Linked DNA regions of Schizosaccharomyces pombe. Changing the gene in region 1 together with any one later gene gives a genetic interaction. Each region holds a gene or a part of one and is shown on either strand. Other genes may lie near its edges.

What was found. A genetic interaction does not mean that the proteins touch.
Region 2: mutations in rtc3 (region 1) and lsc2 together harm fitness more than expected from each alone (negative genetic interaction), as found in Schizosaccharomyces pombe (one large-scale study listed by BioGRID).

The regions. Positions count from the first base shown.
Region 1 is NC_003423.3:3,827,520-3,832,287, reverse strand, and holds rtc3 (SBDS family protein Rtc3), read right to left. Parts: upstream 2,261-4,768; 5' UTR 2,122-2,260; coding exon 1,801-2,121; 3' UTR 1,386-1,800; downstream 1-1,385. Other genes in the region: C2 domain protein Git1, read left to right, coding at 1-1,091; serine/threonine protein kinase (DDK family) Spo4, read right to left, coding at 3,439-3,566, 3,827-3,994, 4,117-4,768.
Region 2 is NC_003421.2:2,156,986-2,161,795, reverse strand, and holds lsc2 (succinate-CoA ligase beta subunit Lsc2), read right to left. Parts: upstream 2,368-4,810; 5' UTR 2,198-2,367; coding exon 896-2,197; 3' UTR 501-895; downstream 1-500. Other genes in the region: transcription factor TFIIF complex alpha subunit Tfg1, read left to right, coding at 1-231, 281-465; lnp1 (protein lunapark), read left to right, coding at 4,346-4,366, 4,425-4,666, 4,751-4,810.

The DNA.
Region 1 (4,768 bases):
ATTCTGGGGACCCAAATTTTTTGAAGCTGTATAGGGAATCATTCACCCTAATCAATACCGTCAGTTTAGTGAGTGGTTGGTTAAAAATGCTGCATCAAAGGATTGATTATAAAATATTGACAGAGAAGGTAATGCACTTTAAAGATATGGAAGTACCATCTGCGACTGTTATAATTTCCATTAAGATGGCCCATCTTTTGGTAACCCCAAAGGCCCCATATTCATTCTCTGTTTTGCTCCAAGATCCTGAGTCGGAATTTTGTGTACATACTCGAGATGTTTATGACGAGCTAGTTCCCAATTGGAAAGAAACGTATCAGATGGAGATTACAAACGTAAAGCGTTTTAAATTAATTATATATCAGAGGAATATACACACTGGATTGGAGACTGTATATGGTCATGCAACACTAGAAGTTGATCCCGACAAACTTAAGCAAGGCCACGGAAAAGATGTTTGGCTTGATATCACTAATAAGGGACAAATTTTGATTGGGTTGCGTGTGCTCTTGAAGAGGGAAACACCAAATTATTACTGCTTTGCCCAAATGGAATACCTTACCGTTACTGAAGTAAAAATGCTAAATGTACTGATGATTTCTCTAAGTAAATTTATTCGAAATTCCTTAAGAAATAGTGGGTTAATGGATTTCGTGCGTTATCTTGATGGAGACGAAAATGATAACGCAGAGGCTGAGACTAAAGAAAAGATGGACGAGTTGCAGGCCCGGTGTGAAAAAGAGCAGCAGTCATTGTTGGCAGAGCTAGATGATTTTTTTTATTGGATTTATGTAAACTTGCTCCCGAAACCTCTTTTTTACTTGCTTTCGCGGCTTTGGTTTGGCTTGTTGGAGACATTTCGAGATATTTTAGTGCCTCCAGTCACAGATTCTACCCTAAGGAGAATTCCGTTGAATAAGCGTGAACTCAAAATGGTCTATTCGTGGTTACAATTGTTTTACGATTTTTTTCGGAATTTTCAAGATATTGCGCCATTTGATTTTTTGAATACCGATGAGTACAAAAGTGTGATGGCTATTAAAGACTATTATTTTGTAAAGTCTAAGGATGTCAAAAGAGTGAGTAGTTAGTTAACTACGGTAATGATGGAGACTTCTATTAATGTTTATTAATTTACTGAACGATACTTTTAATTTAATGAGCACAGTTGCTAATTTATTTTATATATATACAAATATGTATGTCATACGTCTATCATAAAGTCGCGTGTATTAGTTGCTAGGCTGAAATTATTTATTAAGCAGCTAGCTTATAACACTGCATTGTACACAAGAATAATGCTGAAAGCTAAAAATTAAGTTATGCTTACGATGATTACGCATTTTCTACAAAAATGAAACACACCATACAACCATAACAACAGGTTACAACAAAAGTCATAAATACATTTCTATGTAAACAAAAACAGATTTTTTTTAACGTAAAGCATACACATAACCGCACAGCCTTTAGAACGTCCAAACCATAAAAGCAAGTTATAATCATACATAAACATAACAAATGCCTTTAAGTCCCTTAGATAAGACACAAACATTAACCCTTGACTCAATGTCAGAGGCAATAGGAGATTAAAGTCGAATAATTACCAAAGGAACGGGAAAGGATTCCAAAAATTGCCATGAAGTTCAGGTAATGTTGGAATGCGGACATTGTGTACTTCGTCAGATTGCATCATTATATAACACAAATGGGAATACCTATAATAGATATACGTGGGCCATATGTTTTAACTCATTAAAGTCGGTGGTATAACTAGCCTCAACTAGTAGAATTAGTCATTTAGTTGACTTCTTTGTGCTTGCCATGTTCACGATGGGGAATGATTTTTCCGTCAGTCAAAATTTTAGTGACAACATCAACGTCCTTGCTAGTACCAAAGGTATTCTCAAGTTCTTGTTTGGAAGCAGTAATTAATTGACCTTCGTTACCTTTGTTGTTGCTAGTTGTAAAAACTTGAAAAGAGTCGACGATCTCAGTTAAGGGAACAGTCTTGTCCTTGCGCCATCTCATGACATCGGGACCGTTTGAGGCGATGATAATAAAGGTAGTATCCTCAGGTTGGTAACAAACACGGGTTTGGTTGGCCTTAGAGCTAGACATTTTGGAAGTATTGATAAATATATTAATAGACGGTTGGACAATGCAAAAAAATAAAATTTAATAGTCTTGTGAAAAGAGAGAACAAACTATAGAATTATCCAAATACAAACAAACAATTCTTATTTTTGTGTGAAACGATGCTCAACTAGGTTGGGAAAGGAAGTCCTTTTATAGTATTAGATTTGGGTGGAATAAATGCATTTTCCATCAATATGTCTAAACGTAAGTCTCTAACAGCGTCATAACATATTTACATCATTACTATGGGAAGCGAATAATGACATCAGGCGATATGTTTGTTTACCGTGTGTTAAATCCTTACAGTAAAATAATTAACGCACGATAGCACCTTTTGTCCTACACTACTTCATTACTCTCTCTGGTGCCCGACTTTTGTTTAGAGATGGTTTAGTGTGAAGTTAAGAAAAAAATGTTTCCCCTATATATTCAATCTCTTGGAAGATAAATAAAGGAGTAGTTTTTATTCAGTATTACACTTCATTTTTTCCTTTGATACGCTCACAAATCAATCTCTTTACACATGTAGCTTAAGAGGTGTCAATACCTACCTCTTTAATATGATAGTCAGTGTACATACTATTCTCATAACATTATCGCTAAAGAGTATACTGGAAAAACAAAACATCGTTATTTACAATAACACATTAGAAAGCCGGTGCGCAATCAACACTTAGTGACGTTGTAAACAATACGCAATCATCTGTTTAGTGATTTCACTCACGCAATGGCCCACGTCAGTAAGAGTTTGAAAGAGATGGATAATGGAGTACGTGACTGTTTGACTTTTTTCATGATCGAAACTTCTCGGCGATCTTTTGTTTACATTTTGGAAAATATCTTTTATCATTATGAAGAAAGGAAATTGGCTTATTTTGAATTCGGCTTTTTCTTAGTTTAAGGTTATTGTACTTTTAATTGCTGATTTGTTTCTTATGTACTTTATTCGACGACGTTGACACATCTGTTGGCTGATTCCACTATAATGACTTGACGCTACAGGCATTGTAACGATTAAAGTAGGTTAATGTTTGTCAGAGACATCTCATCCTATCTAAACATTTCGTATTTAGTCTGCTCATTTGGTTAACCTTTTACTGTACTTAGTATTTGACCGTTACACATTCGCTTTTCTCACGTGCTTTGGTTTTTGAGATGTTTGCAACGCACGCAACTTCAAATATCTTTATCTTTGACATTCATTATTATTAAGAGTTAATCGATACAATAAATAAAACTTTGAATGATATTATGGAATTCCGACGTGTGGAAATTTCTCCATCTTTGGCAGATACACGTCTACTGCTCTACAGTTGAAGGGAAATCACTTCGAAAAGGGTTTTCTGCCTCAAATCCTGACCGGGTAACCCCACATGCATTAAAGAATTCGTGCTGAAGAGCTGTTTTGGCCTTTACTCGTTTCGATGCTAGATAATTGTTAGCCATTCAATTTTTAATTAATTCCTGCCATGTTGTTTTATACAACTGGAGTTTGGAAATCAAGATACTAGTTTCAGAGTGGATAGCCCCAGGCTTCGTTAAAAAACCTAAAAAGCATCATAAAAGAAGACAATCCATGAATGAAACAATAAAAAAAAGGCCATTTCGGTTCGCGTTTTTTTTTGTCATTTAAGAATTTTCCTCCTAGTCCACTTCCTAGTATTTTGTTTTTGGGATTTGCACGTACGATGTAATTCTAATAACTTGTCCAACAAGTCAATGGCTAAAGCCACTTGATAATCTGAGCTTGTCTCTAAAATTAAATTCTCATCATTCTTCGTAATGCTAGCAATTAGGTCTAGCCAATTATGCTTTTGATCTAGTAGAGTCGGAATGTTATCTGACCAAATTTGTCCTGAGAGAAATACAAGTTAGCACCTCAAAAGTTGTCTCAAAAAGATTTGAAGCATTGGTTAGAAAACGATTTCTCTCTTCGTTTTTTCAACTTTTACGCTCAAGTGTTTAATAACTACTTACCATGTAATAATGCGCAGTTTGACATGCCATTTCTTCCAAAGATATGTGCTAATTCTACGATTGCATCGATATCATCTTCACAGCGGAAAAAAGGATATCGATGTGTTAAAAAACACAACAAAATGACTCCCACTGACCACACATCAATTGAGGATGTTTGATTTTGGCATCGAAACAATACCTCAGGCGCTCGAAATCCTCTTGTTCCGGCTCGGTCAGCACGTTTTGTAGGCCTTGGATCATGTAGCAAGTAACCCTCTGGAGGATCTGCTATCGTTTTCTCAAATGGAAAATAATCGTAATATTTTCCTTCTTGCTTCAGTTTTCTCAATTTATCGACACAGCAATTTTCTGTAGGTGCATCTGCCTCTTGCCATTGAGCTAATCCAAAGTCAAGTATGACTCCCCTTTGGGTGTAAGGATTCCAAGCAAAGTTACCTGGTTTGATATCTCGATGAATTATGCCCTTTGCATCTATATGTGCCAACCCTTTCAAGAGGTCTCTTAAGTACGCACCAATTTCTGGAAGAGAATATTTCATATAGAAGTCCCGGAACTCTGCATGTTGTATAAACGGTAGTACAATTAACACTTGATCTTGATGTCTTACAGCAGTTATCATATTTAGTACACAATCACTGCCTCGTAGTTC
Region 2 (4,810 bases), on another chromosome or scaffold:
CTCCTGTCAAAGCTTCATCGCAACTACAATCACCTAATACTTCTATTCAAATAAGGCCTCAAGAACAACTTATTAACAAACCTGGATATATAATTCTCCGCTTATCAAGTGAAAAGTTATCACGGTTTGCCAATGACTTTCCCCGTATGGTCCCTAGCATGGGGTCTACAGAAACGAGTGTAGGAGATCAAGTGGAGGTTGTGGGAGATACTACAAATGTTCCAATTGATGGTATGCTAAAGTTTTACATTTACCAGAAAATTTATTAACGTGCTTTTAGATTCTAATCTGATTACGGAGGCAGAGGTAATGAAGGCTTTAAGAGCTGGTCCCATTTCTATTAAGGATCTAGTTCACCTGTTCCAACGCAAAATTAGAGCCGACAACAGAAATCGGTTGGGAATACAGAAGATCATTCGAAAGGTTGCTCGATTTGAGAACAAGCTACTCGTTTTAAAAAACTAGTTATGAATTATCTATGTAATAACGTTTATATATTAATGAACATTAAAGAAAACATTTGTTTTATTTTTGGAAACAAAATTCAAAATTGCATTAATTTAAGAGCATAGTAGAACTATTACAATTTAACATTTCCCCTAAAATAGAAAACGTCGGATTGTTAAGAAGTGCACTCGTCGATCGGTATAGTATCAAATACACGAGTTTACGATCGCGATGTTCAACTATGCTACTATATAACTGTAAATGTGTATAAAATATATAAAGAAGAAAAATAACAAACCATTTCTTTAAGACATGGTAAACAGCTGTGCTAAGAATTCTATATACACAAGTCATTATATAAAATCATTCCATGATGCCGTATGTCGTAATGATAATAAGAAAAGGGGGTTGTAAACAATTATACATTAAAGCCGTTAAAATTAGCAGCCTACAAAGGTAGCTCGAAGCTAACATTCACATCGGCTTCACGTGCCATTTCGACAACGCGACTGAAACGACAAGCCTTCTTAGCTGCTTCATCAAGATCATCAAATGAGAAAATACGGAGACCTGAGTTGTTGATTACCTCTTTGGCAGCACCTTGGTTGGTTCCTTGAAGTCTGCAAATAATAGGTATGTTCAGATTCAACGCTGATACTACCGAGATAAGACCTTTGGCAATAACGTCGCATCGAACAATACCTCCAAAAATGTTCACAAAGATAGCAGTAGTTTTGGGATCATTAGTGATGAGAGAGAATGCCTCACGAATTGCTTCAGCATTAGCATTACCACCGACATCAAGGAAATTAGCAGGTTCACCACCATGAAGTTTGATGATATCCATAGTGGCCATTGCGAGACCAGCACCATTGACCAAACAACCAATGTTACCGTCCAATTTGATAAAGTTCAACCCAACCTTGGCAGCCCTAGCCTCATCAGGATCTTCTTGAGAAATGTCCCGCAAAACGAAAATGTTGGAATGACGAAATTCGGCATTATCGTCAAAGTTCAGCTTAGCATCCATGCACAACACCTTGTGATCAGTAGTTTCAGCAAGGGGATTAATCTCTACTTGTGTAGCATCACAATCATTGAATACTTTGTAAAGTTTGACGATTGCGTCAACGGCCTTTGGCTTGCTAGAAGAGGAAAAGCCGAGTTTGTCAACAAGTTCTTCTGCGATATGAGGGTCAAGATTTGGACTGTTGGGAAGAGATCGTTTGATGATAGCGCTAGGATTTTCAGCTGCTACAGTCTCAATGTCAACACCTCCTTGGTCGGAGGCGACTATCATGGGGCATTGGTTCTCACGATCCATTAAAATAGCGAAGTAATACTCTTTACGAATAAACTTCCTCTCGCAAACATAGACAACATTGCAAATCTTTCCAGCAGGACCAGTTTGTCTGGTAATTAACTTATGACCGATCATTTGTTCAGCAAACATTCTCGCTTCTGTAGCATCATAAACAGGCCGTACTCCTCCACGCAGGCCACTGTCAAATTGGCCCTTTCCACGACCGCCTGCTAGAACTTGAGCTTTAACTACCAAATCTGTGACTTTAAGATCACGAGCAACCTTTTCTGCCTCTTCACCGCTCCGAGCAGGAGCACCACGAGGAACGTCCACACCAAACTTTCTGAGAATATCATGAGAAATATATTCATGTAAAGCTAGATTTCTTTTTTGTAAAAAGGGAGAAAAAGCGCGAGGTGCTTTTCTCAGCACACTTCTGGTTAACATGGTAGGAAAGTTGGATTGAGAGAATCTAGCGATGAACTTAAACAATTCTTTGATAAATATATGAGAAGCGTAGCATACAGATACACGTTCTTTTAAAAAATATATATAGAGAGAGTCTCCTCCTAAACTACAACAAAGAGTAGGCTGTAGAAAGACCAATACTTGGGTGTGAGTGATATTGTACGTGTAAACGATATGATATATCTGCCATGACTGGACAGCAAACATAGTAAATTGCATCGCATAACGCAAATTTGTTATTCGTTGATAGAAATATTGTTAACATACAGTATTTTAAGTAACGATATGCAGCAAAGAGTACTAGAGTCGCTATCCACGATGAATACATTCAGCATGAAAGATGAGCATCATAATCGTGAAATTACAAATGGCATTTTTTTTATCAAACACAAATAAAGCTACTTGCATTTGATGAATTGCTATATGCACACAATGAGAGTAATCTACCAACAAATTATGATAGCGACACAAATCATACATTATGTCAGCAATACTACACTACGCTATGATACACTACGTTGTGTATCACTATATGTCACATGTTCTAATTATATATCGTACCATGTATGATACGATATGGAGATTGATCTTAATGATAATCTATTAAGATCAATATTATCTGAATACTATAAATAGAGCTACTGCTGAATCTCGTTCCTCAGTTCAGTTATGAGCTATATTAGTGATAGGTAACATTATAACCCAGTTAATACAATACCTATACTCAGTTGCTACTTATACAACCTGTGTATTGTAATATAATAGATCACAAGGAAAACTCACCGTAGCTCTACGTATCCTTAAATCAGATACCAAACTTCGTAGCTTACACATTATCTTGTTTTACGCGTTGCGTAATAGCGTCGTGTGCAATGTTAAGTATTCAGCAGTTTCAATGAATCATCATCTATTTACACTGGCTTTTGTAAAGGATTTGTTAATATAAAAGAATGGCATGTAAGCGATTCTTTTCTAATGTTAATAGATTTTCGAATTCAATGAATGGAATTAAAATATCTTAAACTATTGTAAGACAGAAAGCTCCGATTTGGCAAGATTTTAAGTGACCTATTTGGATATAAAATTTTATATTAAGTTAGTTTTTCGATAGCGTTTAAAGAATTTCCAGCATGTTGGTATTAGTATATAATCCTGAAATTTCGCATTCGCACACATGCAAATAAAATTTTTACCAAAGAAATTATTAATGTCGAATATTTTTAAGCTTCGTTAGATTATTAAGCTATCGGCTAGGTGCAATAAGGTAAACAAAAGTCGGTTAAGCAATTCTTTTCGTTTGCATAAGCATGTACTAAAACAATAACATGTAAATGACTAGGATGTGTAGAATTTTATAAAAAGGCATACTAACCATTCTGTTTTGAAGAGAAAGTTGAAAATTTCTTGATGAACGCTGAATCTCTAACACGGGAATACGAAGGTTGGTGCGATTCATGAAAGTTCATAATCGTATAAATGATCAAAATTTTAAAAAATTTAATAGATTGTGATATTAAAATATTTCAAAAAGCAAAAAGAATCGTATTTTAAAGAAGCAAACCCATAAGTGTATCAGAATATTACTTCAAGCGATTCACTAAAGTTGTCGCAATACAAAAGAGAAACAAAAAAAAAAAAAGCGAATATGCAGTGAAAGCCTATACCTGATTTAAAAATATTCACATTTTTGCTTTAGTACCCTTTGAAGGAATAGATTTGTTGATTTACTTCTCTATTATGATTGCAGTCGCCATCATTCAAGGCTGAGCGTTGTTCAAAATGTGAAGCCAATGGTTTTTTTTTTCTAGCAAAATCAATTAAAAATCTACTTCATCTGACCAAAATAGCAAAATCACAACTTTCGTCCAAAAGTCACTTTGTAAGATTCCCTCGGTAAGGCCGCGCTGCAAATCGATTGCGCTCATAGTTTCAAATAGCACAACTCGATAAAATTCGCAAACAAGTATAATGTAATACTTAATAACGTTATTTCATAGCACGATGCAAAACCGTGATTTGGATAGAGCTTCTCATAGAAACGAGCACTTGCGACTCTCCTAACCATAAGCAAAAATTATTCATTGTCAAGTGAGTCGTTGAAAGGTTAGACGTTATTAATTTATTAACATGGGCTGGTTTTTTCAAAAGGTTTGTAAAGGAGGATTTCTCAGTTTTTAGAGGCTCAAAGTCACTAACATGTGATTAGAAGAAGGAGTTCGATTTTGGTGGGGAGTTGGATCGATTGGAGATGAAGCTGGAAGAGGCTCAGTATAATATTGATAATATTCAAAGTCAAAAGAAAAAGATTTTATTTCGGTATACTGTGTGCTCTTTGGCAATCTATACGATTGGTATGGCAGTTTGGGCAAGTCGCTCATCCATCCTGTTCCAACATCCTTTATTCTCTAAGCTTTTTCGAATCTCTCTATACATCTTAGGTGTTTTTAGGTATGCATTGACATCTGCCGTACATTATAGTTAGGCATTGTACTGCTTTGGCATGAATTCACTCACTAATTTTTGTTTGTTTAGTCTTTACATGTTTCGATGGGCAATTGCGTGGTTTTGTGAAAAAAGATTGTCGCGTGCTAG